Linked DNA regions of Sus scrofa. The protein of the gene in region 1 interacts with the protein of each later gene in a pairwise test. Links are inferred from orthologs where the notes say so. Each region holds a gene or a part of one and is shown on either strand. Other genes may lie near its edges.

Region 1 (4,620 bases):
ACTTACTTAAGCCTCCTAACAACCCCTAAAAAGGGAACAGACAACCAACGTGTGGAGATACTCAGGGCTCAGTTCTACACCACTCGGAAAAGTGAATGTTGCAATAAAGGGAGCTACACAAAATCTGTTTGTTTTCCCAGTGCATGTAAGTTATGTAGGTTATTAAGTGAGCAATAGTCTTAACGTTAAAAAAACATACATACATGCCTTAATGAAAAGATACTTTATTAAAAAGTGCTAACCATCATCTGAGCCTTTGTGCAATAGTAACAAAAGTCAATGACAATGGATCGCTGTAACAAATATAACAATGAAAATGTCTGAAATATTGTGAGAATCACCAAAATGTGACAGAAGACACCAAGTGAACAAATGCTGTTGGAAAAATGATTTGCTCAAGACAGGGTTGCCACAAAAAAGAGGTTATCTGTAAAGTGCAATAAAATAAGCCTCTACTGTGCACCGCCTTACTAGTTTCACAATAGAAGGAAGCAGTCTCCTCATGCACCACTTAAGACCGAAAGTTGTGCACCCTGAATTACAGAATGAAAAGAATTCAAAGTAAACATGATGGCTCTTATAAAGCAAAGCTTGTGATTCACCATTTTAAATTAACAACCTATCTATAAAATACTTACTGTGGTGTCCTTTGGGGATTGTGAGCAAGAAAGGCTTAGCCCTGGCACCACATAACATAAACATACTGGTAAGGTCATTTTTTTATGTTAGTTAAGCCTGTGCTCACTGACCTTGTTATGAAATAGTGACCCCCCCCCCATTTCCTGGTTTCTTCATGCTTGGAATCTCTTGGCCTTTCTACTCTCCCTTCAGAGTGTACCATTATCCCATTTCCAGGACATACACATTTCACAAGAATTGCTCTTATGATGCACTAGGAGGAGCAAAAACCTATATAGCAGGGACCTTATAAGTTGACTGCTGATGGTCCAGGCCGGTTTAGTGAACAAATGCTGGCAGACAACCAAAGCCTTTCCCCAACCCCTAGGTGAAAACAACTTTGCTTCACCTAAGACGGTTCTTTGGCTTTTACCACTTACCTTTTGCGGCAAATGTGGCAAGGGCTTAGATGGACCCTGACCATTGTTTTTACCCAGCAGCCCAGGTGACACGGTTGAGACTTTCGCTTACACCTCAGGTGTTTACCCAAGTTTCCTTCACACCCCCAGCTCCTTTACCTTAATCGCAGTGATAGCAAAGGCAATTTTCCGCCGCCCATCGATGTTGGTGTTGAGTACTCGCAAAATGTGCTGGAACTTCTCAGGGATTACTAGAGACTGATAGAGATGGGGGGAGATGTCAGACTTCGCTAATTCCCGCCAAACCGTTAACCCCAAACACGAGCGTGAAGCTTGTCACGCAAGGTGCAAAGAGCCCCCGTCAGGTCTTCACGACACAACACGACTCCCTGGTCCTGCCGACAGCACAACAGGAAGCGTCCAGGATCGGAGAACGCCATCTCCGGAGGAGAACGCCTCCTGCCCGCTCCCAAGCGGCGGGACGGAGGGCCCACGCGCTCCCAAGCCTTCCCAGAGCCCGGGGAGCGCTCATCCTCGGGCCCCGCTGCCTAGAACTGGGTGCTTTGTCGTCCTTCTCCAGGAATGAGGCCCAAGGCTCCACACAAAACGCTGCGAGCCCCCAGGCCAGGACATTTTCGGCGCTCTGACAGCAAGCCTTCCCTGTCCCGGCTCCGATGTCGCCAGATACCCGAACGAACCCAACTCTTACCATGGCTGCAGCGCGGGCGGCGGCGTGTAGGCCTCCAGTGGAAGAGAGAGCGGAAGTGACGTGACATTCTTATATAGCTTCCAGGCGGAAGAGGCGGAGCGACCTTGGCGAAGCGCTTCCGGAAACTCCTTGTACCTGAGCCGGCTAGGCCTCTGAGTCAGAACTGCGCGCCACAACTTCCGGTGCCGTCTCTCTTTACAGATCGTAAAGTTTTTGCGCGTGAGAGCCACGAGAGTTCCGGGTTGAGATTCTCTTTTTAAGACTTTCAGTTTCCATTTGGACTTGGGCGAAGAGCTTAGAGAAAAGGGGAGAGCTAGAGGCAGTCTGTTTAACTCAAATATCTGGGAACGGTTTCGTGCATCACGCCCCAGAACTTGCAGTTCCACTCAGGGGAACGGACCTGCCCGACAGCTGCCGGAAGTGGGGCTGCGCGGAATGGCTGCCGCTGCTACCATGGCGGCAGCCGCCCGGGAGCTGGTGTTGCGGTCCGGGGCCTCAGATATGGAGGAGGAGGAGGGCCCACTGGTGAGGACGCAGGGCTGTTTCTCCTCCAGAGTCTCGTCCGGTCTTCTCACGTCAGAAAGGTCTGGGCTGGGTTTCGCGCAAGGTTGGGAGCTCGGCTGCTACCGGTGATGCTGCCTGGTCTGGCTCTCCATACCCCTCCCCGGATCGGACCTGGACCAAAGTGGGGACTAGAATGGCTGATACTTAGGTTCTGGGGCCACAGTTTCAGTTAAACTCCAGATATTTGCGCAGGATAGAGAAGCGGTGTAGAGTAAATGCTAGGAACATGGCCAGACTGCCTCGGTTCTAATTCCAGCTCAGCCACTTATGCTGTGTGTGTTTGGGCAAGTTAACTAGCCTCTCTGTGTCATCACTCTTAACACTTATAAAGTGAAAAAATAAGACTTACTGTAGAGGTTGTCGGTTAGGATTAGGTGAATGTAGGATGACACCTGGCACGATGGTGAACACTGTGTTAACTGACATTTCTAGAAAGGCTGGAGCTCCCCACGGGGATTGTAACAGAACATCTAAGATAGAAGGAGTCTGGAGACCCTAAGTTCAACTGCAAGTTCTGCTCTGTCCCTGCATCTCCTAATTTTCCTCATTTGGTCACCTCTGTGGGTTTGCTGGCTCCTTGTCATATTCCCTACCCATCAGCCCCAATGAGTAGATTGGGACAATATGAGATTTTGGAATTTTTTGGACTCAGCATTTCTCTCTGGTTTCCCAGTGAAAGTCCTCTCTCCCCATTATATTTTGTTCTCCCCCTCCCTTTCCCATTAACCTGCCCCTCTCCAGGGGGGTGGTCCAGGTCTCCAGGAGCCACTGCAACTTGGAGAGTTGGACCTCACCTCTGATGAATTCATCCTGGATGAAGTTGATGGTAAGTGATGGCACGAGGTGGCCGCAGTGCCTGTCATCTTAAGAGGCATGGGGGCTGGAGGTAATAAGGCAGGAATTGGTGTGCAGATGTTCGGATGTGGGTAGCGGGCGCTGTGGAGCCCTTTGGACCCTTATGATAAACTTCTCTTTCCAGTTCACATTCAGGCAAATCTGGAGGATGAGTTAGTAAAGGAAGCTCTTAAAACGGTGAGGTTTTCTGCTCTCCTAATCTGCCCCTCCACTCACCCTCCCCTCAAAGAAGAAAACAGTCTCTTCGTGTAATATCTTAATGTCTTCTCCCCAAATCCTTTGTTGACTTTGTTGCAGTGTCCCTTCTCTGACTGCCCCCCCCAACCCATCGTGTTTATGCTCTTCCAGGGTGTGGATCTCCGTCACTATTCAAAGCAGGTTGAACTGGAGCTACAGCAGATTGAGCAGAAATCCATTCGTGATTGTATCCTCTGGCAGAGGGAAGGGTGGTGTTACTAAAACGGGCGTTTGGGAGTTCCCATTGTGGCTCAGTGGGTTAAGGACCTAACATAGTGTCCTTGAAGATTCGGGTTCACTCCCTGGCCTCGTTTAGTGGGTTAAGGATCCAGTGTTGGAGTTCCCGTTGTGGCGCAGTGGTTAACGAATCTGACTAGGAACCATGAGGTTGCGGGTTTGGTCCCTGCCCTTGCTCAGTGGGTTAACGATCCAGCGTTGCCATGGGCTGTGGTGTAGGTTGCAGATGCGGCTTGGATCCCGCATTGCTGTGGCTCTGGCGTAGGCCAGCGGCTACAGCTCCGATTAGACCCCTAACCTGGGAACCTCCATATGCTGCGGAAGCGGCCCAAAGAAGTAGCAAAAAGACCAAAAAAAAAAAAAAAAAAAAAAAGGATCCAGTGTTGCTGTGAGCTGTGGCCTAGGTCGAAAATGCAATTTGGATCTGGTGTTTCTGTGGCTGTGGCCGGCAGCTGTAGCTCCGACTCTACCCCTAGCCTGGGAACTTCCATATGCTGTGGGTGCGGCCCTAAAAAAGAAGAAAAAAAAAAGGAGTATTTTGTGGGGCATGGTGCTGACAGCCCCGCCACAGCTGCCCTCCATCAGCTAAGAGAGAAGGAGAGGTCCTGCTGGTCCAAGGAGCTCTATCTGCACAGTAAGGCCTTGACTTTTGTGGTCAGATATCCAAGAAAGTGAGAACATAGCATCTCTGCACAATCAGATCACAGCCTGCGATGCTGTCCTTGAGGTTAATAACCCTGACCTGGGACCCCTGATAACCCTGAACCCAGGTCATGGTCTCTGGTACCATTCTCTAGGTCATTAGCCTCAGGTGGGGACCATTTGAGTTGCCATCAGGATGATCTCAGCAGCCTTTTTTATTTGTTGCTGCTGCCGTGATGAATGCTATTTGCCAGGGACTTTTGGGGTACCTCTTCCCTCAGCACCCACTACCCTCATGGACTTGGGTGATTCCCTCATCCCGTCCCAACCCAATGGCAA
Region 2 (3,950 bases), on another chromosome or scaffold:
CCATGAGGTTGCAGGTTTGATCGTTGACCTTGCTCAGTGGGTTAAGGATCCGGCCTTGCTGTGAGCTGTGGTGTAGGTCACAGATGTGGCTCGGATCTGGCGTTGCTGTGGCTCTGATGTAGGCCAGTGGCTACAGCTCCGATTCAACCCCTAGCCTGGGAACCTCCATATGCCATGGGAAACGGCCCTAGAAAAGGCAAAAGACAAAAACAAAACAAAACAAAGCAAACAAAAAAACACATTCTCCTTCTAAAGTGATTTAAGAGAAAAATTATTTGTGCTCCTACTTTGTCTTGATTGTGGAATACACAATGCCACACTCTCCTAAGGAACTCACTGGTCCCAGAGAGTAAGTCAGCTTCTAAATTAGGATGCATTTACTCAGAAGAGTTTCTAATTCTTTTGTAAATTACTGCTGCATGGAGAAAAACCTGACTTTTAGCTTGTCTTAAAGCTTCCAGAGGTGAGGTTTCTGAAATCTGTGTGGGGGAGGAGGGAACAATTATGTATTAAGAATATAGTTATTTCAAATCCAATTTTCAAATATTTTTATTATGTTAGAGAAAAAGCTACCTGAATCGTTCTTGGCCTGCTGTGTCCCATATCTGTAACTTTACATATTTACCACCAACATTTATTATCTTTGAACCAAATTCCACTCCTATTGTATGATTTGAGTCATCTTTGACTGAAAAAGAAAAAGAAATTTAAGTTTAGAATGTTAAGGAAACAGGTTTATAGATTTAGAGAAGTAACATTAAAATCAATAATTAAGTCAATGGAAAATGCAATTTTCTTTATCATTCATTTTCCAACAGTCAGATGATAATAAGCACTCATTGTTTTAAACGAACACACACAGTTCCTATTCTCAAAGACACAATACAACTTTTTCTCAAAACCTCTAAACAATCCATTTTTTTTGGTCTTTTTAGGGCCACACCTGCAGCATATGGAGGTTCCCAGGCTAGGGGTTGAAACAGAGCCGCAGCTGCTGGCCTACGCCAGTCACAGCAATGCCAGATCCCAGCGGAGTCTGAGACCTACACCACAGCTCATGGCGATGCTGGATCCTCAACCCACTGAATGAGGCCAGGAATCAAACCGCGTCCTCATAGATACTAGTCAGATTGGTTTCTACTGAGCCACGATGAGAACTCCACGACCATTATGTTTTAAAACTGAGGCTTGAAGGGGAACCACACCATGAGATGGTACCTACCGGACACTGCTAAGGTTCTCATAAGTGGTAAATGAATAAAATACAGGGTGCCATCTTGAAGGGCTTACCACCTGGTGACAGTTCTACAACTTTGCCAATGATAGTTTCAACTATTTGGATAAATATTCTATTTTTTTTTTTCTTTTGTCTTTTGGTTGTTGCTATTTCTTGGGCCGCTCCACGGCACATGGAGGCCCCCAGGCCAGGGGTCGAACCGGAGCTGCAGCCACCGGCCACGCCAGAGCCACAGCAACGCGGGATCCGAGCCGCGTCTGCAACCCACACCACAGCTCACGGCAACGCCAGATCGTTAACCCACTGAGCAAGGGCAGGGACCGAACCCACAACCTCATGGTTCCTAGTCGAATTCGCCAACCACTGCGCCACGACGGGAACTCCTGGATAAATATTCTAAACAAATAAAAGCAAAGGGAGGGAAAAGCACTGTAGCCCAAGAAAGAAGCTTGATGGACACAAAAGGTGAAGGAAAATCGGGGAAAAAATAGAGTTAAAAAAAAATCTGGAGTTCCCGTTGTGGCGCAGCAGAAATGAATCCGCCTAGGAACCATGAGGTTGCAGGTTCAATCCCTGGCCTTGTTCAGTGGGTTAAGGATCTCGCGTTGCCGTGAGCTGTGGTGTAGGTTGCAGATGTGGCTCGGATCTGGCAATGCTGTGGCTGTGGTGTAGGCCAGAAGCTACAGCTCTGATGAGACCTGTGACCTGGAACTTCCCTATGCCTCGGGTGCGGTCCTAAAAAGGAAAAGAAAAAAAAAAAATCCAAAACAAACTCCAAACCAAAAACTCTATCATATTATAGCTGTTGAGTTGTCATGAATTTTAGTATTGTAGGGTGATAATTTGGAATGAAATTTGTTGGAGAAATCAATACTTTGTGAATGGGCAGGGAGGCAGGCAAAATAAGTAGTCTGCTCCACCCAACTGGAATAAGCTAGCTATAAAAGAAAATTTCTGAGATGTTGGAAGGATAAGTTAAAAATACATTTCATGGCTCTACAGTTCATTGACTGGTTTATATTTTATAACCATAGGATAAAATTTAATTGTACCAGAAATCAGAGATGCTTCTTAACAGCAGTGTTTACTGCTTCCTGGGGATGAGAGGGTGAAAGGTTATTAGTACTGGCACTGGCAGCTGTCTCAGCCCAGACAGTGCAGACTGAGTGTGGATACCTGGCTAGGATTCAGCTCCTGGGCAAGCCTTCAGAGGGTGACCCTAAAGGCCAAGGACATCCTGATTAAGACATGGCTACAACAGAAATAAAGTGAAACCTATTTCCTCCTGACTGTGGTCCTGTGGAGTTAGGGAGGATCTGGGGGGGGCGGCGGGGGGGAGCCTTCTCCACAGAGGCTGGGCCCCTGACCTGATGTTCCTGAGCAGTCTTTTCTGAGACAGAACAGTGCAAAGCCTGGTAACTTGTAAAGAAGCTTGACCGCCCAGTAAATGGATGCTGGTTAAATTCATAAGGCCTGGCTCCCTGACAAGCCACACTGGGTTCCTGTCCCACACAGGGGTTTGAGCTCTGGGTTGATGAATGTGGAGGCAGAAGGATACATTTCTAGACTACGGTTCTTCAAAGCTCTTTCCCAAGACACTCTGTGCTGCCTCTTTCCCCATTTTACCCACTACTTACTGTATCTTATGCACTTCATTAAATTAAATTAATTCTGTTTTCAGGCTCTCACCTGCCTACCCCTACCGCTACCAAACAGGCCATTCTCCACAATTCTTTCCATCAGTATAAAGCATTATTTTGAGGGCCTTACAATCATACCATCTTTTACAGTAGCCTGGAATACAGAATTCAACCTCCCTTACCAAAACATGTAGGTCAAGGACAAGAGATATTTTCTGTGCTCAAAGGCCCAGGTTTATTTCTAAGCAATTACTAGGTGACCACTCTAGAGCATGCACACTAACTCCTCTAAACCTCTGTTTCTTTACCTGTAAAACTGAACTGATGACAATACTGCCTTAATGACAGTACAAGGCCACTGAGGACCAAATGTTATTTATCCAAAATGTGCAACTAGGGTTCTTGGGCCACCTCCTGTCAGGAAATGGAATTCCTCTGCTGTTTTCCACATCATCATATTGTATCTTAGTATCTAGAAAATGTACAGGACAATTCACTACATAATGAACAATGAACTACTATAAAACTAAAATGCTAAATAAAAACCACATTACTAGAAGTTTAATAGCATGAACTTTTAACGTCATTTAAAAATATTTTTAAGCCACAAACTTTTTTTCCTGAAAACTTATTTGGAAGTTTTGCTGTCAACAAATTTGAGCAGAAGCACTCTCAGAAGAAATTGAGAACACCATGTGACATCACTTACATTTTTTCTCAATAAACTGATGAAGCAAGCAAGACTTGCCAGTTCCTGCATTTCCAATAACCAAGAATTTAAACAAAAAATCTGAAAAACAAAAAGAGACCATGAAAAAGAACTTTAAAACAGGTGCTGTGAACGTAGTCTACAACTGTAACATTTAATGAAATCTTGGTTGTTAATATAACAGAAAAAAAGAGGTAACAAGATTTTGTGAAAAAGGCAATAAACACACGGACTTACCTTTTTACCTTTTCAGCATTTGGTTTCCATGCTGAGCCAGTGCCTTTTCAAACTGCTAAGGGGACAATTTCTTTTGATACTAAAAGTTTGAAAACTACTCTGGTGATGTCTAAAGTCTGTCTCTTTG
Region 3 (4,714 bases), on another chromosome or scaffold:
GGACCCCAATTCGCACCTCACCTAAGAAAATTCTAAGTCACTCTACACTCACTACTGCGAGTCTGTACCTCAACCTGACTCCTAGATCAGCCTGTGGGATTCCTCCAGGGAAAGGACTGGCTGGAATCTGTGGGACTCCACGAAGTTTACTCTGGGCTCCCAAGGTGCCCTGAGCTGCTTTCCTTGTCACCCTACACTTGGCTCTGAGATCTCTTCCATGCGCAGTGCAAAAGAGGTTCAGAAGGGATGGGGTGGGGGGTGGCAAGGAGAGAGGAAGGTTTGGAAGGGCAGGCCGGGGGCTGAGGCTGCACGCCCTCCTCTGACAGTCCCCAGAATCCACCATTCCCCGGGAGGCTGAACCAGGAGGTGGGGGGAGGGACTGGGGCAGGGAGCTCAGGGCCCTGGGGTTCCCATCTCCCCTCTGCCACCTCCCTCCCAGGATGGGGTGTGGGAAGTCCATCTCTCTCCTTCCCGCCACCCTTCCGCCCCATCTCACCTGAGCCTCTTGCACCTTCCCTGTCTGGGTCTCCACAGGGTCTGAGGCTGGGGGGAGGAGGGGGAGCAGACGTGGTTAAGGTGAAGGGAGTGGTTAAGGGGGAAGGAAGGGCTTCAAATTAGTGGGGCAGAGGGATCAAGAAAACTCACCAACCTGGTCATACCGGGTGGGGTGGGGGTGTAAAATGGAAGTGGAGGAGGGCGGCAATGGGGAAAAGCGGACCTTATCAGTGTGCAGACGGCTGGGAGGAGAGGTTAGCGAGGGACAAAGAGGCCGGGACAGGAAGGTTTAGGCGAGGGAAGAGAAAGTAAAGCACGCCCGGCATGGAGGAAGACTTAGGAGGAGTTAGGAAGGGTGTAGTAGTGTGAGAGTGTGTGTCATTAGGTTTACAAGCAGTGGGAAGCCATAGAAAGGAGAGAAGACATACTCTGCCTGTTGGCAGGTTTGGGAGAAGAGGTGCAGAGTGTGTGTGTGTGTGTGGTGTGTGTGTGTGTGTGTGTCGGGCAGGGTGGGGTTGGTTTCGGAGAAAAAGGAAGCAATAGGAGGGGACCCTGGCATCCTACAGTTGCTACTAACAACCAGGTACCCTTAGCAACCAGGACCGCGGCATCTTAAGTCCCTAGCAACGAGGGTCCTTGGCAACTAAGGTGCGAGAAACATGTGATCATTAGTAACTTGGGGGAAGTGGCAAACGGACCCTTAAAACCTAGCGACCCAGAAAGCCACCAATCTAGCAATATGGATCACTTGGCAACTGCCCCCGGAATCCCATTTTCCCCCCCATGCAACCCCCATCTCCTGCCCCACCAAGCCTGCCCTCGGGCCCCGGGGCCTACGACCCTCAGCTAGGCCCCGGTGCAGCCCTGCCCTCCCACCGGGGTCCCCGACTCACGATCCGGCTCGGCCATGGGCGCGGGGCGGGGGCCCTCGGGACTGTCACCGACTGCTCTGTCCCGTGACGGCACCGGAAACAGGAGGGGGCCGAGACAAGGCAGAGAACTACAACTCCCAGCAGCCATCGCGATCGCATATAATGCTCTGCACCGCGTACGGAGCGCGCCCCCACGCAAAGGCCGGACTACGAGTCCCAGAGGGCTCCACGTCCACAGCCATGCTGGTAAAGGACTCCGGGAAAGTGTGGGAAAAGGTAGAACGCCGTAGTCCACCTGAGTGCTCTGATTGGTCATCATGTGGCATGGGGGCGGGGCGTGTACTACTTAGCCCACCCTGATTGGATGAGTCAGGGGGGCGTGTTGGGGAATTCCCCGCAGGGCGGAAGCTCGAGAATTCCAGGCAGAGCCCAGCGACAGGCGGGCTGCCGCTGGGGGCCCCTGAGGCTTCGGGGGCCATGGCTGGGGTTGCGTGCTTGGGGAAAGCTGCGGACACCGATGAATGGTGCGACAGCGGCTTGGGCTCTCTGGGTCCGGACGCAGCGGCCCCCGGAGGACCAGGCCTAGGCGCGGAGCTGGGTCCGGGACTATCGTGGGCGCCCCTCGTCTTCGGCTACGTCACTGAGGATGGCGACACGTGAGTGAACCTTAGACTGACAAATCGGGCCCCAGGGTCCCACATCTCCAATCCTGACTTCCCAACCTTTCAATCCTAAATCTGTCTTTTGATGCTTGACTTCCTGACCCCAAGACTGGCCTCTGATAAAACCAACTTCTTATCTAATTTTGATCCTAACCCAATAATGTCTGGCCTTCCTTTCTTGAACTGATTCTCAGAGTTATGCGTTCATTGATCAGACCCACATTCAGTGATCGATTCCACATCCAAAACTCGATTTGACCTTCCTGACCCCAGTCCTTAGCCCTCTGTTAGAACTGTAGTTCAGACAGGCTCCTCCTGACCTTTATCCTCCAAATATGATCTTTGGTCCTCAGCGCCTAACTTACATGAGCCTTAGATTTTATTTCGAAATTAATACTTGGCTTTTGACTCCAGGATCCCACCTTCTGAACTCTGATCTTCAAAGCTTACATTCAAAGAGAAAATGGAAACTACATAACAGCAGGAATTCATCTATTAAACAAATAATCCAACACCTTCGACTTTCCAGGAACTGTTTTAGGTGTGGCCTAAAGGCAGGGAGGAAAGCCCAAAAAACATTTGTCTTGTGGAGCATACATTCTAGTGGGGGTATATAGACAGAAGGGCAGATAGACTGACAGGGAGGGAGGAAGGGTAGGAGGAAGAAAAAGGAAAGAAAAGGAGAGAGAAGGAAAGAGAAAAAAAGATACACAGACCTAAAGTAAGAAAGGGAGAGAAAGAAGAAAGGCAGGAAGAAACGAAGACAAAAATTAAAAAAAAAAAGAAAAATAGCATGTCAGACGTTAAGAAGTTCTTTGGAGAAAAATAAAGCAGGGAAGTGAGACAAGTAGATTATCTGGGGAGAACATTGCACATAGAGGGAAAAACAGTTGTAAAGGCCCAATTGAGGGAATGTACCTGGGGTTTTTGAGTATCGTGTTTACCGCTGTATCCCCAGTGACCCAGCAGCCCCTGACCCATAGGAGGCACTCAGGAAACAGTGATCTTCTCAAACAACCAGCTGTGGTTTCATTTATTTTCTCTTTTTCTCTCTTTTTGCTTTCTATTTTGTTGATCTCTGTTCTGACTTATTTACTTTCTTCTCTTATTTGGGGTTTAATTTCTTCTTTTTCTCGTTTTTTAAGATGGAAGCTGAGGTCATTGATTTGAGACTCTTTTTTTTTTTTTTTTTTACGCATATAAGTGATTCATGCTGTAAATTTCCCGGAGTAGTGCTTTAGCAGTATCTCACCAATTCTGATGTGCTGTGTCGTTTTTTGTCATTTTGTTTTGTTTTGCTTTTAAGGCCTACCTGCGACATACGGAAGTTCCCAGGCTGGGGTCAAATCGAAGATGCAGCTGCCGGCCTACACCGCAGCCACCGCAATGTGGGATCTGAGCCCTATGTGCGACTTAGACCACAGCTTATGGCAGTGCCAGATCTTTAACCCAGTGATCCGGGCCAGGGATTGACCACATCCTCATGGATACTGGTTGTGTTCGTTAACCACTGAGTCACAACAGGAATTCCATGATGTGTAGTGTTTTTATTTAATGCAATATACTTTCTAATTTCTTTTTTGATTTCTTCTTTGGTCATCGGATTCTTCAGAAGTATGTTATTCAGTTTCCATATCACAGGCATCTTTCTTTCATTGGCTTTTAGTTTAATTCTGTTGGGGATGGAGAGCCTAGCATGACTTGAATCCTTTCAGACTTTTTGAGACTTGTTTTAGGGCCAAGAATATAATGTGTGCATTTGAAAGAATGTGTATTCTGCTCTGGTTGGGTGTAGTGTTCTCCGAGTGTCAGTGTTTCCCTGGTTCTTTTGTTGCTCAAGTCTAGATTTCTACTTGTTCTGTCAATTATTGAGAGCCGGGTATTGAAATCTTCAACAATAATTGTGGATTCGTGGCTTTCCTTGTTGTGCTATCAGATTTTGCTTTGTGTAATTTGATGCTCTATTATTAGGGGCACAAATATTTAGGATTATTAAGTCCTCTTGTTTCACTGACCTCTTTGTCGTTATGAAATAACCTTCTCTAGCCCTGGTAATGCTTCTTGCTCTGAAATCTACTCTGATATTAAAATACTTACTTCTGTTTTCTTTTGAATGACTGGTGTTACCATGGAATATCTTTTTATACCCTTTAATTTTAACCTATTTTAAAATTTATATTTCAAGAGTGTTACAGGCAGCATATAGTGGGTTTTGCTTTTTTTTTTTTTTTTTTGGCTGTGCCTGTGGAAGTTCCCGAGCCAGCAACTCAACTCGAGCCACAGCAGTGTGGCACAATGACAGTGCTGGATCCTGAATCTGCTGCACCACAAGAGAACTCGAGGTTTACTTTTTTATTCATTCTGACAGTTTCTGTCTTTTAATTGCAGTGTTTAGACTGTTTGCATTTAACTTAATTATTGAAATGGTTATGTTTATCTTGTTTTTAGCTTTTTTGCTTATCTCTTTTACCTTTTTCCTCTTTTTCTGCCTTTTAGAATGAGCAAATTTTGTTCCATTGTGTTTCTTTTGTTGGCTTATTAGCTCTAACTCTTTGTTTTTTATTTTCGTGGTTGCTCTGAAAGACCAATAGTTGGCAAACTGGTTTCCAGACAAAGTCCAGCCAGCTACCTGCTTTTGCATGGCTGTGAGCTAAGAATAGTTTTTACATTTTCAAATGGTTAGAA
Region 4 (4,537 bases), on another chromosome or scaffold:
TGCTGTGAGCTGTGGTGTAGGTCGCAGATGCGGCTCAGATCTGGCATGGCTGTGGCTGTGGTGTAGGCTGGCAGCTACAGCTCAGATTAGACCCCTAGCCTGGGACCCTCCATATGCTGCAGGGGCGGCCCTAAAAAGATGAAAGACAAAAAAAACAAGTGGGACTACTTAACATATGCCTCTTTCTTACCTAATTCTCAACTAATTCTACTACCTGTTTCACAAACTTTACTCAGCCTCAGGTTCTTAAAAGACCCTCATAAAATGTCCCATTGTGGCGCAGTGGAAATAAATCCAACTAGGAACCATGAGGTTGCAGGTTCGATCCCTGCCCTTGCTCAGTGGGTTAACGATCCCGGTATTGCCGTGAGCTATGTTGTAAGTCGAAGACGCCCCTCGGATCCTGCGTTGCTGTGGCTCTGGCACGTAGGCCGGCAGCTACAGCTCCCATTAGACCCCTAGCCTGGGAATCTCCATATGCCCTGGGAGCGGCCCAAGAAATGGCAAAAATAAAATAAAATAAATAAAATAAAATAAATAAAATAAAAAAATAAAATTAAATAAAATAAAATAAATAAATAAAATAAAGTAAAATAAAATAAAATAAAATAAAAAATAAAATAAAATAAATAAAGTAAAAAAAATAAAATAAAATAAATAAAATTAAAAAATAAAATAAAATAAAATAAAATTCAGGAGTTCCCATCGTGGCTCAGGGGTTGACGAAACCGACTAGGAGCCATGAGGTTGCGGGTTCCATCCCTGGCCTTGCTCAGTGGGTTAAGGATCTGGTGTTGTTGTGAGCAGACGCGTCTGCTACCTACCTGTGGTGTAGGTAGCAGACGCGGCTCAGATCCCGCGTTGCTGTGGCTCTGGCGTAGGCCGGCAGCTACAGCTCCGATTGGACCCCAAGCCTGGGAACCTCCATATGCCGCGGGAGCGGCCCGAGAAGAAAAAAAAAATTAAAAAGGAATTGTACTTCTGAATGTATACAGAATAAGCAAGAAACTGACGCCCTCTGAAGGATGAAGAGAGGGGTGTTTTTTCTTCTTAAATGTAAAAAGCTTTTTAAACGTTTAAAAAGTTGCATCTTCTGCACATATAATTTTAGAATTTCTCTTAGTTGATGGCACCATTAAAACAATACTGTATCGCCCTCTCTTTGTGCCCCCATCAACCCTAAAGTCTCGAAGGGACGCTCGAGGACCCGGGAGAGAGGAAGGCAGGACCCCGGCCTCCCCGCGGCGGCGGCGCGCGGCACACCCCTCCACTCAGGGCAGAGAGGCGTGTCCGCGCCATCCTGAGCAGTGGCCCGTTAGGTTCTAAGGAAGCCTGGACTCCTCCCTTCGTACCAGTTCTCAATCATCTCCTTAATGGCATTAGCCGGCCGCTGGATAACCTCCCCTGCCGCGATGCGGTTCACCACTGTCTCGTCCAACCGCCGGATAACTCCCGGTACCTGCGACATTTTGGCGCCAGAGCAGGCCGTGTAACGGTGAGACGCTCACTGGAAGGGCTTTCAGCCAATCTCCTTAGAGCTTCGCACCCACATCCTTCCAGCAACACTGCTGACGCCGTCCCGTCCCGCCCTCTAGCGGCAACACCACTTCCGGGACAGAGAGGTACTGATTGGGCATCTTGAATGCCAGTCAAGTTCTTAGCTCCATGATTCCTGTTCTCTTAGCCCTCCTTAGGCGGCTTTAGTGCACTTTGCAGCGAGAAGGATATGCGCCTGCGCGCTAAAAATCAGTGTCCGCTCTTCCTATTGGCTCATGCTTGCGGCAGGGGAATACGAAATCTCCAGCCAATAGGAATCAAGGTGCCGGAACCCCAGTGGTTTCCCCAGCTGGGGTGATCTGGCGCAGAGCGGAGTTGGCGCTTGGGGATCGCTCCTGCTCCTCCCCTCTCCTTGCGGCCTCCGGGAGGTCGGCCCAGATCCAGTGGTCTCCCGTGAGATGTGGATGACGCCCAAGAGGAGCAAAATGGAAATCGAGGAGCCTCGGGGTTTCCAGGCCGAGTGGACTCAGCGTTACCTGGTTGTGGAGCCTCCGGAAGGCGAAGGCGCCCTGTGCCTGGTCTGTCGCCGCCTGGTCGTAGCCAATGGCGAACCCGATGTCAGGCACCACTACGAGGCGGAGCACGATTACTACGAGCGGTATGTGGCGGAGGGCGAGCGCGCGGCCCTGGTGGAGCGTCTGCGTCAGGGCGACTTGCCCGATGCCGCCCCGCTCACCCCGGAGGAGAGAGCTGCTCGTGCAGGCCTCGGGCTCACCCGCCTCTTGGCCTTGAAGGGTCGCGGCTGGGGTGAGGGGGACTTCGTGTACCGGTGCATGGAGGTGATGCTCAGAGATGTGCTGCCTGATCACGTAGGCGTTATGGATGGCATTGATTTATCTCCGGAGATCACGCAGCAGAGGGTCCTAGACATTAACCAGAATCTACGCAGTCAGCTTTTTAACCGAGCCAAGGACTTTAAGGCCTATTCCCTTGCGTTGGACGACCAGGCTTTTGTGGCCTATGAGAACTACCTCCTCGTCTTTGTCCGCGGCGTGGGCCACGATTTAGAGGTGCAGGAAGAGCTTCTGACCATCATCAACCTGACTCAGCACTTCAGTGTTGGTGCCCTCATGGCGGCAATCCTTGAGGCCCTGCAAACTGCAGGGCTTAGCCTGCAGCGGATGGTTGGACTGACCACGACCCACACTCTGAGGATGATTGGTGAGAACTCAGGGCTGGTGTCATACATGAGAGAAAAGGCTGTAAGCCCCAACTGTTGGAATGTTATCCATTATTCGGGGTTTCTTCACTTGGAACTGTTGAGCTCCTACGATGTGGATGTTAATCAGATCATAAATGCCATATCTGAATGGATAGTTTTGATTAAGACCAGAGGCGTTAGGCGGCCAGAATTTCAGGCTTTACTAACTGAATCGGAATCAGAGCATGGTGAAAGGGTTAATGGACGCTGTCTGAACAATTGGCTTAGAAGAGGGAAGACCTTAAAACTAATATTTTCTTTAAGAAAAGAGATAAAAACATTTTTGGTTTCAATAGGGGCAACAACGGTCCATTTCACAGACAAGCAGTGGCTTTGTGACTTTGGCTTTTTGGTGGATATTATGGACCACCTTCGAGAACTCAGCGAACTATTGAGAGTAAGTAAAGTCTTTGCTGCTGCTGCCTTTGACCATATTTGTACCTTTGAAGTTAAGCTGAATTTACTTCAGAGACATATCGAGGAAAAAAATCTAACACACTTTGCCGCCTTGAGAGAAGTTGTTGATGAGCTTAAAGAGCATCTTCAAGAAGATGAAAAAATACTTGATCCTGAAAGGTATCAAGTAGTGATCTGTCGCCTACAAAAAGAATTTGAGAGACATTTCAAGGACCTCAAGTTCATTAAAAAGGACTTAGAGCTTTTTGCAAATCCATTTAGCTTTAAAGCTGAATATGCACCTATTTCAGTAAGGGTGGAGCTAACAAAACTTCAGGCAAATACTAATCTTTGGAACGAATACAGAACCAAAGACTTGGGGCAATTCTATGCCGGACTGTCTGCTGAATCTTACCCAATTATCAAAGGGGTTGCCTGTAAGGTAGCATCCTTGTTTGATAGTAGCAAGATTTGTGAAAAGGCTTTTTCATATTTGACTCGAAACCAGCACACCTTGAGCCACCCATTGACAGACGAACACCTCCACGCCCTGTTTCGGATTGCCACCACTGAAATAGAGCCTCAATGGGATGATCTTGTGAGAGGAAGAAATGAATCGAATCCATAAGCTTTTGTAGTACAACACCGAAACACTCAACAAGAATCCAACTCTAAAAGCAAAAATATGTTTGATTTTCAACTTTACTAATTTGGATTGTGGGAGAGTACCATGTTTTTTCACCCAAAGTGAAAAAACTTTCATCGCAGACATTTTTCACAATTCAAATGCTTCAGACAATTTTTTTTTCCTCTTTTCAAGAGGCAGCATGAGACTGAAACATGCAGATACCTTTTTTCAAAACTTGGTGGCAGAGTCATTATCTTTTGCTTTTATGATATAATTGTTTTTTAAAAAGTTCAGTATTAATCATGTGAGTTGAATTAGGAGTCTGTTTTTAAGACGTTTCAAAGAAACTTTAGCTCTTATTTTAACAAAGCGTTGAGATTCTGATGCGTATAGTCTGAAATTATCAACTCCTTAAATGTATGTTTGAGCCAGTTTGCAGAAACTCACATTAACAAGTGCAGAAGTTTCTGAAAAGGAAGAACGTACATACAGAGGAGGTATTTTGTCTAACTATCAAAATGTTTGAGACTATTTTTTTAGACACATTTCTGAGTCTGAAGTAAATACAGACATATTTTCTCCCTCTCACTCCCCCACCTGCCCTAGTGATAATGATATTACTCATAGAGGAAATAATCAATTAAAATTTTAGTCAGAGGAGCAAGAATTATTTTTAAATTGTTGGTTCAGGAAACTTCCTGAAGTTTGGAGATCAGACTAACCATTTATTGGAGGTTTTCCCTGATTTTTCACAA
Region 5 (3,794 bases), on another chromosome or scaffold:
CACTCAACGTTATGTTGTAGTCAGTTCACAAGAGTAACAACAGATCCCTCTCATCGTGGCGTGTGCGATGTATTATCTCTATTGTGCTTAAGACTTTTGAGCCCCTGCTAGTCTAGAAAGTGTTCTTGGAAGTTCCTTCGTGGCGCAGTGGTTAACGAATCCGACTAGGAACCATGAGGTTGCGGGTTCGGTCCCTGCCCTTGCTCAGTGGGTTAATGATCTGGCGTTGCCGTGAGCTGTGGTGTAGGCTGCAGACGCGGCTCGGATCCTGCGTTGCTCTGGCTCTGGCGTAGGCCGGTGGCTACAGCTTCGATTGGACCCCTAGCCTGGGAATCTCCACATGCTGCAGGAGCGGCCCAAGAAATAGCAAAAAAAAAGACAAAAAAAAAAAAAAAAAAGAAAGAAAGTGTTCTTGCTCTTGGAAACCTTTTCTCCCCAAAGGAGAGAAAAGTAATGGCTTTGACGTTCCCTAATGGACAGGGATGGAACAGTCCGGGGCCCGGCTCTGCATCTGCTGGAAACTTCCCCGGGTTCTGGGGTTCCCCTTTTGCAAGAGAGGTCTCCGTGTCAGAGTCTTTATCAAAGTCTGGCAGCCCCCCTGCATTTGTGGGGCTGCCCTCTGGGTCCTGCTTGGCAGCGACTTCCCACTAGTGTGTGTGTGGGAGGGAGGCTCTGCCTAAGAAGGAACTTCTGGTAATCTTTTGGCACATTTCTGAGTCTGAAGTTCCTCTCTTAGCTCCCTGACTCAAATGGGTTCTGGGGGTGAGGACCCTTCTGTGGTTGAAGCCTTCAGAAATAAAATTCCTGGAGTTCCCGTCGTGGTGCAGTGGTTGACGAATCTGACTAGGAGCCATGAGGTTGCAGGTTCGATCCCTGGCCTCGCTCAGTGGGTTAAGTATCCGGCGTTGCTGTGAGCTGTGGTGTAGATCACAGACGCGGCTTTGGTCTGGCATTGCTGTGGCAGCTGTAGCTCCGATTTAGACCCCTAGCCTGGGAACCTCCATATGCCGCAGGTACGGCCCTTAAAAGAAAAAAAAAGAAAATAAATGAAATTCCTGCCTCAACATCACCAAGGCACCCAACTGTCTTGCCAGGCTGGGAAGGTGGGTGCCCCTGTGGCAAAGGGGCTCTGTGAGCAGGTGCTAACCAGACCTCTCGGACTAGTGAGAGGAAGAGCCAAACAGAAGGAGGCTGGCGTTGGGGAGATTGGCCTGGAGGTGGAACAGAGGTGCAGAAGGTCAGGGGTGGCCGGACTCACAGTGCACAGAGAGAGCAAGAGGCCAGCCCCCAAAGCCATTGCTTAAAGGGCACTGGCAGGGTCCTGAAGACCAGTTTGGGGCCCCGCCTACTGGGCTGTTGGTACCTGGCAGGCAGCAGGGGCCGGAGGCTAATGCAGGGGAGCCCTTTGCCTTTGTTTGGGCCACAGGACCTGACTTCATACCAGTCCTGCTGCGGACAGAATGGAGGCTTTCACACACCCTTCGGCCAGGTTCTTTCCAAGCCTCCTGAGTGAGTCCTGGCCCTGGGACCTGGGCTGTGGCCCCAGAGGCCTCCTTGACGCTGCCCCGAGCAGGGCCCCTCTGAATCCCCTTCTTGCTTTCCCCTTGTCTCCCTCCAGGCAGACCTCAACACCAACATTGAGGACGAGGGCAGCTCCTTCTACGGCGTCTCCAGCCAGTACGAGAGCCCCGAGAACATGATCATCACCTGCTCCACCAAGGTCTGCTCCTTCGGCAAGCAGGTGGTGGAGAAAGTGGAGGTAGGGCCACGCCGCCCACACCCCTGCAGCCTGGGCTTCGGCCGCTGCTCACCTCTTTCCCCACACTGAGTTCATGAAGTCTTACCTTCACCCCTCAGCTTGCGATAACCCCCCTCGCATCAACCCATGGGAGGCTGGGCACCCCCATCCCAGTGGGGAGCCTTCCCAACACACCTGCGCCGAGCCCCGCCCACAGCGCGGAACCTTAGGGTGGAGTCTGGGCAGCAGCGACTCTGAAAAGCCCTTCACGTTGTTCTAATGACATTTTTATTTCGAGATAATTGTGGATCTACAGGCAATTGTCATCCCTTCCCTAGTTCCCCAGTGGCAGCATCCTACATACCTAGAGTGTAACAAGAACCGCCTGGCAGGAGACAGTGATGCAATCCACCAGCCTGATTCAGATTTCCTCCATTTACACACACTCACTGGTGTGCACATGTTTGTGTGTGTGTGTGTGTGTGTGTGCGCGCGCGCGCGCATCCCCAGGCATGCATGCCAATGGATAGGTACACATATGTGACGGTTCTGTGGGCGCAAGGGTCCCTGTGGCCCTGTCCCCATGTGCAACCAGAGTTGGGGCATCATTCTGTCCCGTCTGGCCATTCGCCCCTCTGTGTCTTTAAGCTCCTTCTTCTAACACCCAGCTGCTGGGTCACTGGGGGGAGGGCTCTCTGTTCTCAAGGGCCTCCTGAGAGGCCTCTCCTTCTACTACGAGTGGGTTATGGAGCTTCCTCTTGGAGCTGGGTCTGGCTGGAGGTGGGCAGAGACCTCCTAAGCTGCGCTGTCCCTGGGTCCTGCAGACCGAGTACGCGCGCTATGAGAACGGCCATTACTCCTACCGCATCCACCGGTCCCCGCTGTGTGAGTACATGGTCAACTTCATCCACAAGCTGAAGCACCTGCCCGAGAAGTACATGATGAACAGCGTGCTGGAGAACTTCACCATCCTGCAGGTGTGTGTGTGTGTGTGCGCACGCGTGCAAGTGTATGTGTGGGCAGGCGGGGGCGGGGCGCAGATGTGTCGAGTGGGGCAGAAGTGAGCAGTGGGCAGAGCAGAGGGCATGCCGTCTCCTGGGGCCCAGACCCCCTCCTCTCCTCACCCCTGCAGGTGGTCACCAACAGAGACACACAGGAGACCCTGCTGTGCGTCGCGTATGTCTTCGAGGTGTCAGCCAGCGAGCATGGGGCTCAGCATCATATCTACCGGCTGGTGAAGGAATAAGAGACCAGGGAGCAGGGAGGGGGGACGAGACATCGTGTGTGCCGGGACGTGGGGAGGGGACCTATGGGGGCAGCCCCCCCCCCGAAGTGCCAAGAGAGTTGAAGTCACGACTCTTCTACCCAGGAACAAACCGTGCCTGAACCTGCAGTGCCTAATCCCAAATAAACCCAAGATCTGTGTATTTTCAGAGGAACTGATCTGGCTGTGTGAGCCTTGGGAGGGACCGAGGGAGAAGGGGGCTTCCTGGGGAGCAGGCTGGAAGCAGCCCCAGGGGTGCCTCTCGTGCAGTTCTGAAGCCGAGGCCCCAGCGGACTCAGCCAGGAGTGTCACCAGATGCTGAAGTTCAAGATCCGATGGTCCCTGTGGTGCATGGGCATCTCTGCCCTCTGCTGCAGCCATGCTGCGAGGCCTGAGGAGGGTGTGGGTCCTCCCTCCTATGTGGGCACTGCAGCCACCTAGGAGTGATGTGTCTGCTCTCCCCCGCTCCCCGCCACCCTCCCACCTCCTGCCACCTCTGCTGCCTCTGCACCAGAGCAGCTAACAGGGAAGCCTGGGCCAGCCCTGGGGTGGGTTTCAGGTGTGAGGGAGATTGAGTTGTTGGGAGGTTGGAAGGGGACACAGGGTCCTTGAAGTACTTTTCGTCCGTGGCCATGCTTGCTGTCAGGGGGATGGGTCCCGGGTCAGAGGAGCCCGAGACAGCAAGGGTGGGGGTCCAGTGCTGAAGCCAGCTTTCTGAAGTTGGGATTGCTTGGCATCCTCTTTGGTGGTAAAGACCGAGAAAGTTGGTCAGAGGTCTGTGGTGGACCCTTG
Region 6 (4,613 bases), about 61 Mb from region 1:
TGAACTGAGAACAGACAGTAAAGCTCTACATAATTCCAAACTGCTGAAAGACACAGAGTTACAAGATTTTTTCCCTTGAATAATAACATCAAACGGGAGAAAAACCAAGACTTCTTGCTAAACCTTTCCTCCACGAAACAATGTTTCTTGTTAAATAAAACTTAAAGTAGTCTAAGTTTGGGGGGGTAATAAAATTCCCTTATCTTTATGTTTTTTTAGTTATGCTTAACCGAAAGATCACAGCGTGTAATTCTACAAGTTTACTTTCATCGATGCTGAAACACGGTAAACCGATACTAAGAGTTATATATAAACTCTTCAACAGTATCTTTTAGTTTCAACTGAAGGGGTGACTCAGTCTACAGAAATGCACCGAGCGATAAAGTGATAGGAGCTTCAATTTTTAAATATAAGTTATCAGAGGAACAAATTATTCTTGGATACTTTTAAACCCAACTCTGTCAACATCATGGCCCAAACCACCGGTTCCTTGAAGCGGCCGGTCTGGTTTCCACTGAGAGGTAGTATTTGCTGGGGCGGACGAAAAAGATGGAATTCTCAGGCCCGGAGAGAGCAAAATGCTCAGCGTCGTGGGGCGGGGGTGTCATAGCGTTCTCCCGAGACGGCCCCACCTCAAGGCACCCCTGTTTTATGTATATTGAAGACGCTGTACAATCACTGGGCCCACTTCCCTTCACGAGATTCCTTCGTTCGTACCTTGACACCACCGCTCGGAGAGACCGACACCCGGCCGGTGGCGACCGCAGTCGCGTCCAGGCACTTCCCGCTCAGGGACGGGAAAAGGAGGTGTTAACCCAGGGCCTACCCTCTACCGAACACCCATGCCATTGGACACAACCAAAGTAAATTCTTCGAGAAACTGATCGGGGAGACTAGTCACCTGAGGTATGTATATGGATCCCGCACTGGGGCCCCGCGCCGCGCTCTTCAATCAGAGAGAACTGACTTGATCCACCCGCAGCAGCCGCCGACTCTCTTCAGCGTGCGCTTCTCTCAACCCTACCGCGCATGCGGAACCACCTCGCAGCACGCAAGCGCCGACAGACTACAGACCGCTCTTCATCACCTACCATAGAGTCTAGGTCCTCCGCGAACAAAGAGGTCTGTGGGCCTTAGGAGGACTTGAAAAGTACATTTTCTCGCCATCTTTAGTTTTCGCTAAGTGACTTTCAAGGCGCAGATAAGAAGTAAGACTCGGATTCCTTGTCCCTAAAGAATAAATTCTCTACGATACTGTCAGTCAACCATGAGGTGGCGCTGTGACCAGAGGTGAATGTGGAGGAGGAGAAGGGGTGTACTCTTCTCTCTCGGTCTTTCGTCTCTTGGGTGTAGAGCCTTGCGCAGCCGCCTGGGAGCTGGAGGGGGAGGGGCTCGGCAGCGTACCGGAATCGAGGGGCGGTTCCGGGGTGCGCGCGCCTCAACATCCGGGCATCGCCTTCTTCCTGTCCCGGCCTTCCTGCACTCCTGTGCCAAGAGAAAGCGGAAGTGAAGAAGAGACACTCCGGCTGCCTCTTAGCAACGCGAAGGGCGTCACGTGACACAACCAGCTGACTCCGGTAGAGAAGGACTCTGTGGCTGCAGCACTTGCCTGGCCTGGGACCGGAGCCGCACGGTCGCCGTCAGAATGTCGGGCAAAGACCGAATTGAAATCTTTCCCTCGCGAATGTAAGTAAAAGAATGGAACGAACACACTTACGGGTTCAGGAACACCGGCCCGGAGCCGCTGTCCGTTCACACCCTGGACCAGCAGCGAGGCACCTTGTTTCCTTGGCCGACTCTGAGCTCTCCTCAGACACTTCGTGAGTCCAGGGCGAAGCTCTTTGGCGGGCCCGCACACATTCCTCTGTTTGAACCGGACTGGGCAGAACGAGCCCAGCCGGTGGAACAGGCGCCCGGCCTGCTGGATTTTATGAAGGCTCATTGACTTTACTCATTAATTGAGCTTTTCACCCCACATTCCTTTATTGAGCCGGGCACTATCCTTACGTACCTATGAGTTTTCGTCACTTGTGCCTTAAGAGAGCTAAAGACAGACAAGCCGAGGAGGTTTGCCGATAATGCTTTGAAAAAGGAAGTTTACTACGATGGGAAGCAGGCTTCTAAGCCAAATTGGGGGTTGAATCCAATCACCGTAACGTGGACGTTAGGTTCGATAGTGGATCCCCTTGCTCCTTTTCCCTTGAAATGTTTGTCGCCTGAGGTGGGAAGCTATCCCAGAATTTCTAAGGCACTCCTTTTGCTCTGTCACCATTGCATCTCATTCAGGCCTGTGTTAATATCACCCATCACGTTGTAAAGTGGATATTGTTTTATGTGTATTTACCACTGAACTACAAGCCCTCTCCAGGATGAGATCTCTTTTATTAATCCATAGAAAGTCCATTAAAAAAATGGTGCCTGAATGAACCCATATTTTGGAATTTGGTCAGTCGTGGGCTTCATTGCCTGAATTCTTTGGCTGGAGAAATAGCATAGCACTCTAGGTGTTTGGCCAGTCTGTAAAGAAAATTTTGAAATTTTCTTAAATGTGCCTAAGAACATGTGGAAAGTAATAATTGTTCTTATTTGTCGTCTTCTCCCCTTTCTCCTCCCCTTCTTCTTCTTTTTTTTTTTTTTTTTTTCTTTCTCTAAGGAGCAGAAAGTCAGTTTTGGTTCTGAGAGATGTTTTGACTGTGGTCCTCTCTTTGGGGGACCTTTTGTTTTTCTTCATTCTGAATTTTTTCTCAGAGAATCTGAGGACTCTTAAATAAGAGTTGTTTTTAAACCCTAAACCTAGTTTTCTGTCTCTGCCTGGGTGGCTACAGCTTTTAATAAAATGAAGGGGGTTTTGTTTGGTTTTTACCTTTACCTGACTTTTCAATAGCTGTTTGTCCTAGATGGACGCAATTCAGTTATGGAGAAAGGTAATGCCTGTGAAATAGTTAATGATCAGGACTACCCTGGGGTTACTGAGGATGGCAGAACGCTCAGCAGTTAAGGACTGATTCAGTCCAAACCTCTGCACGGAGAGACCACCAAACTATTGTGGCTTCTAGCAGCCTAAGCTCTGTTCCCAGGATGACTCTGGCTCCCAGTATAATGCCTGCCTGAGAAAACTCATTGCAGCCACAGCCAGGAGAATTTGCTCTTTGTTTTGTCCCACACCTGAGGATATGCCCTTGAGCGCCCTCCCTTAATTACCTGCTAGCAGACACAGTTGGCCTGATCATCACTTCTGTTTGCCTCCACTCTCAGTCATTTTAAAATGCTTAATCACCTGTGCACAAATTGGAATGGAGCTCAGCTCTTTCCCCTCCTGTCAGTGGTTACTGAAAACATGTGTTTTTACCACTTTAATGACTGGCTGTTTTTAATCTTTGATAGTTATCAGAATGTTAACTTTTTTGTTTGTTTTGGAGATTAAGAGGCAAATACACTTCTTTGGGCTTAGACAAGAAAAATAATAAGTTTGTGAAGGTGAAAATTGCTCTTTGAGAGGATTCAGCTTCCCGATTGAGAGGAAGATCAGGTGGAGGAAATAAATGCTTCTCTGTAAATATTTTCCCCAAGGCATATCAGCAAGTATTTTGTCATGTAGTCAGATGTCTTTGATTCAGCTGGAAACAAAGTCATCATCCTAGCTGAAGGTCAAACATTTTTTGTAAAGCCAAGCAGCTCTGGAGCTTGTAACAGAACAGGTTTTTTTAAGAGCTAGGGTAGAAAACACACTAGGAACATCTGTTTGAGACACTTCCACCTTATGGTGTTATCCTTTGAAATGAGGTTGAAATGAGGCTGTTGTCTAGTTAGGCACCAGAGAGAGCAAAACAAGTTTAGAGTGGAAGCAAAAGAGGCATGAAGGTAGTGAAGTCAACAGAGGTCAGTCATATTCAGGTTCTAGTACATACTGGCTATAAGCCCTTGGGCAAGTCACCCTTGAGGCTCAAAAATTAAAATTTGTTTATTTCACAGAGATGCCACTGCTTAGGAGTAAATTTAAATTGGCATGTTAAACTCAGTTTTAATCAACCAATTCACCTTTTTACTATAAACTTACTGCAGTCTGCAGTACTTGGATTTGACTTAAATTTTTTTTTGTCCTGAACTGAAAAATCTTTATTTATCCCTCATAGTGTAAATATTCTTAAGTTTTACTGCAGAAATGTTAATATGTTTGATTATAGGGTGTAACCAGGCCCCTCAGGGTTATTATTATAGAACATAGTAAATGCATTATACTTTTCTAAAATCAAGCAAAGTCAGAATTCTTTTTTTTTTTTTTTGGCTTAAATTTGATTCAGCTCTTTGAGCCCAAATTCTAATAGTGTCAACAACATAGTATGTTAAGTGTACACATTCGGGTGCAAACCTCCTGCTCAGGCTGGAACCAGCCTCACTCAGTTACATCTCCAGTGAGGCTAATCAGTGCACATTCAACCACTGATAGTATTTCAAAGAGAACTGTTCAACTGAAATGATTTATAATCAAGAAATGAAACAGTATGGCACATGGTTGGGGTACATTGGACCTAGTTTTGAGCCTTAGTTTGAGCCTTGGTTAAGTCACTGGAGTAGAAGTCTGGTTCAAGTTTCTGCTCTATTTTTTCTTCACT
Region 7 (3,950 bases), on another chromosome or scaffold:
CTAGGATGAGAAGTTTAGATTAGCCCTTGAAAAACTCACCAAGTCATAGTATTACATAATTCTAGAGGACGGATTTCTGATTTTAAGCAATTCCTGAACTATTTGGTGAATAGAAAATGCCCAGATTTGATACTCTTGTCACTAGTGTTAATGCCAGTTCCCTTTGTTTATCAGAAAGAAGAGAAGGTTAGAAAGAGAATTGAACTTGGAGTCAGACCTGAGCTAATCACTAAAATTCTTTGTACCTTTACATCCTCGCCTCTAAAACTGGAATAATAATGCCTGCTCTGCCTACCTGACAGAATTGCTTTATGAATTATACAAAATGATAAGAGCCCTCGTGAACTGGAAAGTGCTATAAACGTGATCTCTTCATTCATTTCTGTATGGCCCTGCCTTTTAGTTAGAAAAACAAAAAAAAAGGATACATGAAACATTTAGCAGATGGTTAAAGACCGTATAATTATCGTTTAAAATTGTATGGCTCAGATAGTAGTTCATTACAAGAATTTAGAGAAAGGAAAATAGAAGGCCCTAAAATAGACAGGCAGGTTTCAGAGGAGACTAGGCCCTGAAGCATGAAGAGGGCAACGATGAGGGAGGCACAGACTCCAGAGTGGGACAGGACCTTAATTACCATCTGTCATATCATTCTCTCAAATAGGTCTGCAGAGCATGTGCTCTGAAGGATGCTATCAGGTGTTGGAGAGAGGTACTGAAGACAATTAAATTTGGGAAGCACTAGGTTAAAATGTTCTTACTGCAGGACTGCCTGGCGCTTTTACTGGCTGAGGGGCTTTCACTGCCACTCTCAAAGAGGGAGACACTGTCCACAGGATTTCTCAGTCATGTGATTTCACAGGACAGCTTCAGAGCACACAAATGCAGTTTATTTCAGTCTTCCAGTTTTACAGATGAGGAACTCAGGACTCAGAGATAAGACCCCCACCCAGCTTCCATGACTAGTTAAAGTCAGCACAGAGCAGTAGAGAGAGCAGTTCTTCTAGTGTCAGCAGACTGGTGTTTCGAGTCCTGACTGTCACTTTGTAACTGTCTCGCCTGGGATGAACTGGGCTCAGTTTACTCAGCTCTAAAATGGGGAGGATGATAACCTGTCTCATGGGTAAGAGGATTACATGACCAAAATGGAAGAGAAACTTATTTTTGGAAGAAGTAAAACTTTTTTGTGTATAGAGAGATTCAGACAGAATGAAGTCAAATTTCCAGCTGTCTTGTGAAAGAGCATTATTAGTACCTCTCTCATGACATGACAATTAAATGAGGAAACCAAAGTAAATTCACTTCTCATAAAGGAAGAAGTTCAATGCAGATATTGCCTTCTTTAGAGCAGATACCCATAGACATTGCTTCTCATTTTAGGACAAGAATGAGAGAAACAAAGGCAAGCATGAGTTGCTCCATTAGGCCTTCCTTCCGATTCTGCCTGTGTGCGCTCTGTGAATTGTGGTTTCCTGTGCCAGTGACTCAAGTGCTCTTTCCCTGTGGTTTTCTTTGTAGTGGCCAGGACAGCGATGACGGGGAGGTGCTGCTTTATTACTGCTACTGTGACCTGGAGGATCCTGCCTGGATCTGTGCCTGGCAGACAGCTCTGTGTCAGCATCTGCACCTCACTGGCAAGGTAACACCTCCCACACCCCGTCCTTCATTGGCTCATCCTGCCTCCAATTTGGATTACAGAGGTTGGGCTTGTTACAAAAAAGATTGATTGTTGGGGTCTTGAAATTAGCGCAATCCTGCTAGGCATTTAAGTCTAATACTAATTAGCGATTAACATGGTGTTGTATAAGACTACTTAATGGCATAGACCAGAAATCAGCAAACTTTTTCCTTTTTTTAAAAATTTTTTATTTTTATTTTTATTTATTTTTTTTTTGTCTTTTTAGGGCTGCTCCCACAGCATATGGAGGTTCCCAGGCTAGGAATCAAATTGGAGCTGTAGCCGATGGCCTACACCATAGCCACAGAAATGCGGGGTCCAAGCCACAGCTGCAACCTACACACCACAGCTCACGGCAACGCTGGGTCCTTAACCCACTGAACAAGACCCCATGTCCTCATGGATATTAGTCGGGTTTGTTAACCACTGAGCCACGAAGGGAACTCCCAGAAAACTTTTTCTTAAAGACCCATATAATAAATACTTCAGGCTTCGCATAAAAACTACTCAACCTTGGCATCATGACAGGAAGACAACCATAGACAATATATAATAGAATGGGTATGACCATGTTCCAGTCAAACTGTATAAAAAAGGCATAATTTGCCAACCCCTTGCATGGGGAAATGTTCTTGATATATTGACTGGAAAAACATTTTATAGAACTATACATACAGATGTGATTTCAAGTTGCTTCTCAATTTTCCTAGAACATGGCAGATGTTATCATTTTGTGTTTTTTGACATTTGTTCTTTTTTTTTTCCCTCGTGAATATTTTTTTCCTAGTCTTTCCATGGCTGTCCAGTGCATTTAGAGTAAAACCCAGATCCTTAACGTTCCCTTAGGTTCCCGTGTGATTTGGCCCCTTTACCTTTTCCGCTTATCTGCTACCACTCTTTACTCATTACACTCCAGCAAAACATTCCTTCAATTTCTTGGGAGTCCACAAAGGTTTTTTTGTGCCTTTGGGCCTTTTTACAAGAAAATTTTCTTCAGTTAACTCCCCCACACCCACTTGATTCTTCCTAACTTTTACTCAATCTTCAGGTCTCAATTTTTTTTTTTTTTGTCTTTTTGCCTTTTCTAGAGCCGCTTCCTGCGGCATATGCAGGTTCCCAGGCTGGGGTCGAATTGGAGCTGTAGTCACCGGCCCACGCCAGAGCCACAGCAATGTGGGATCCAAAGCCGCGTCTGCAGCCTACACCACAGCTCACAGCAACACTGGATCCTTAACCCACTGAGCAAGGCCAGGGATCAAACCCGCAACCTCATGGTTCCTAGTTGGACTCGTTAACCACTGCGCCACGACGGGAACTCCTTCAGTTCTCAGTTTTAATGACACTTCTTCAAAGACATCTTTCCTGACCCGTAATCTAAATTCACTTTTCCAAATATACCCTTCCACTGCAGTTTAGTTATTTTTCATGTAACACTTGTCGGTTTGTGACTTTAATCTTATCTGTGACCTTCCTTAGTCTATAATCTCCAAAAGGGCAGAAGATATCCCCAATTCATAGCATGGTTCCTGGTGCATTATAAAAAAGATGAGTAAACACTTGTGGCATATATGCATTTATTATCATCTCTATTTAGAGAACACCTTAAAAGATGTATATTCTCGCAGTAGACTTAAGTTTACAAAATAGGAAATCAATCTCTTTCCTTGGTTTGGGGCAGGTTTTATTCCTGGCCCAGCCCAGGAGGTAAACTGGCAGTGAGGGCCTCTGCCACAAGGTGGCAGCACCTGCCTGGATCTTAGGTCTAAATTCTAAGCCTTTGGCAATACATGGCAAATTTTCAAGTTTTGTGTTGATGGGAGATTTGGCAGAACATCTGCATTTAGGTAGGGAAAGAGGAGAACTTCAAAACTCTGAAATTATGGAGATAAGCTTCTGATCCCTTTGCTATACATTTCTTACTGCCTCAAGAAATTTGAGAGGCCGCATTAGAAGTTTTGGAAAGGAAAAATTGCAAGATTTGGACCCAATAAGATCTGGTTTTGAATCCCAGATCTACCACCTGCGAACAATGTGCCCTTGGGCAAGGTACTTGATTTCTCTTAGCTTCTGTTTCCTTTTCTGTCAAATGGGAGTTATGATAGCTACTTTTCAGGGTTATAATATGAAGCTGCTGTCTCATATTAGGTGTTCAGTACCCTAACTATTGCACTTCATCTGAGGTAAAGGCCTTCCTCACCTAGCAGCTTAGAAGGTTTCAGTTGAAGAATCATTCAACAGAAATCGAAAGTCTAGTGCATGAATAACTGCTCTA

Evidence for each region.
Region 2: the proteins of VPS52 (region 1) and RAB4A interact in binary tests that used the Homo sapiens proteins (3 or more experiments, as listed by UniProt). The two-hybrid records come from large-scale screens. The link is inferred for Sus scrofa from reciprocal best matches to the Homo sapiens genes VPS52 and RAB4A.
Region 3: the proteins of VPS52 (region 1) and NFKBIB interact in binary tests that used the Homo sapiens proteins (3 or more experiments, as listed by UniProt). The two-hybrid records come from large-scale screens. The link is inferred for Sus scrofa from reciprocal best matches to the Homo sapiens genes VPS52 and NFKBIB.
Region 4: the proteins of VPS52 (region 1) and EPM2AIP1 interact in binary tests that used the Homo sapiens proteins (3 or more experiments, as listed by UniProt). The two-hybrid records come from large-scale screens. The link is inferred for Sus scrofa from reciprocal best matches to the Homo sapiens genes VPS52 and EPM2AIP1.
Region 5: the proteins of VPS52 (region 1) and TEAD4 interact in binary tests that used the Homo sapiens proteins (3 or more experiments, as listed by UniProt). The two-hybrid records come from large-scale screens. The link is inferred for Sus scrofa from reciprocal best matches to the Homo sapiens genes VPS52 and TEAD4.
Region 6: the proteins of VPS52 (region 1) and ATP6V1D interact in binary tests that used the Homo sapiens proteins (3 or more experiments, as listed by UniProt). The two-hybrid records come from large-scale screens. The link is inferred for Sus scrofa from reciprocal best matches to the Homo sapiens genes VPS52 and ATP6V1D.
Region 7: the proteins of VPS52 (region 1) and TSTD2 interact in binary tests that used the Homo sapiens proteins (3 or more experiments, as listed by UniProt). The two-hybrid records come from large-scale screens. The link is inferred for Sus scrofa from reciprocal best matches to the Homo sapiens genes VPS52 and TSTD2.

Annotation. Positions count from the first base shown.
Region 1 is NC_010449.5:29,636,007-29,640,626, reverse strand, and holds the start of VPS52 (vacuolar protein sorting-associated protein 52 homolog), read left to right. Parts: upstream 1-1,458; 5' UTR 1,459-1,746; coding exon of another isoform or gene 1,747-1,749; 5' UTR 1,750-2,181; coding exon 2,182-2,271; exon of another isoform or gene 2,272-2,330; intron 2,331-3,051; coding exon 3,052-3,136; intron 3,137-3,289; coding exon 3,290-3,342; intron 3,343-3,513; coding exon 3,514-3,589; intron 3,590-4,298; coding exon 4,299-4,366; exon of another isoform or gene 4,367-4,477; coding exon of another isoform or gene 4,478-4,620. Other genes in the region: RPS18 (40S ribosomal protein S18), read right to left, coding at 1,197-1,295, 1,747-1,749. UniProt on the Homo sapiens protein: Acts as a component of the GARP complex that is involved in retrograde transport from early and late endosomes to the trans-Golgi network (TGN).
Region 2 is NC_010456.5:60,500,717-60,504,666, forward strand, and holds part of RAB4A (ras-related protein Rab-4A), read right to left. Parts: intron 3,668-3,950; coding exon 3,587-3,667; intron 689-3,586; coding exon 574-688; intron 1-573. UniProt on the Homo sapiens protein: The small GTPases Rab are key regulators of intracellular membrane trafficking, from the formation of transport vesicles to their fusion with membranes.
Region 3 is NC_010448.4:47,701,897-47,706,610, forward strand, and holds the start of NFKBIB (NF-kappa-B inhibitor beta), read left to right. Parts: upstream 1-1,747; 5' UTR 1,748-1,844; coding exon 1,845-2,023; intron 2,024-4,714. Other genes in the region: SIRT2 (NAD-dependent protein deacetylase sirtuin-2), read right to left, coding at 497-543, 1,389-1,404. UniProt on the Homo sapiens protein: Inhibits NF-kappa-B by complexing with and trapping it in the cytoplasm.
Region 4 is NC_010455.5:21,876,191-21,880,727, forward strand, and holds the start of EPM2AIP1 (EPM2A-interacting protein 1), read left to right. Parts: upstream 1-1,672; 5' UTR 1,673-1,955; coding exon 1,956-3,782; 3' UTR 3,783-4,537.
Region 5 is NC_010447.5:67,129,725-67,133,518, reverse strand, and holds the end of TEAD4 (transcriptional enhancer factor TEF-3), read left to right. Parts: intron 1-1,618; coding exon 1,619-1,759; intron 1,760-2,562; coding exon 2,563-2,715; intron 2,716-2,870; coding exon 2,871-2,984; 3' UTR 2,985-3,127; downstream 3,128-3,794. UniProt on the Homo sapiens protein: Transcription factor which plays a key role in the Hippo signaling pathway, a pathway involved in organ size control and tumor suppression by restricting proliferation and promoting apoptosis.
Region 6 is NC_010449.5:91,081,727-91,086,339, reverse strand, and holds the start of ATP6V1D (V-type proton ATPase subunit D), read left to right. Parts: upstream 1-1,431; 5' UTR 1,432-1,645; coding exon 1,646-1,686; intron 1,687-4,613. UniProt on the Homo sapiens protein: Subunit of the V1 complex of vacuolar(H+)-ATPase (V-ATPase), a multisubunit enzyme composed of a peripheral complex (V1) that hydrolyzes ATP and a membrane integral complex (V0) that translocates protons.
Region 7 is NC_010443.5:239,479,219-239,483,168, reverse strand, and holds part of TSTD2 (thiosulfate sulfurtransferase/rhodanese-like domain-containing protein 2), read left to right. Parts: intron 1-1,518; coding exon 1,519-1,639; intron 1,640-3,950.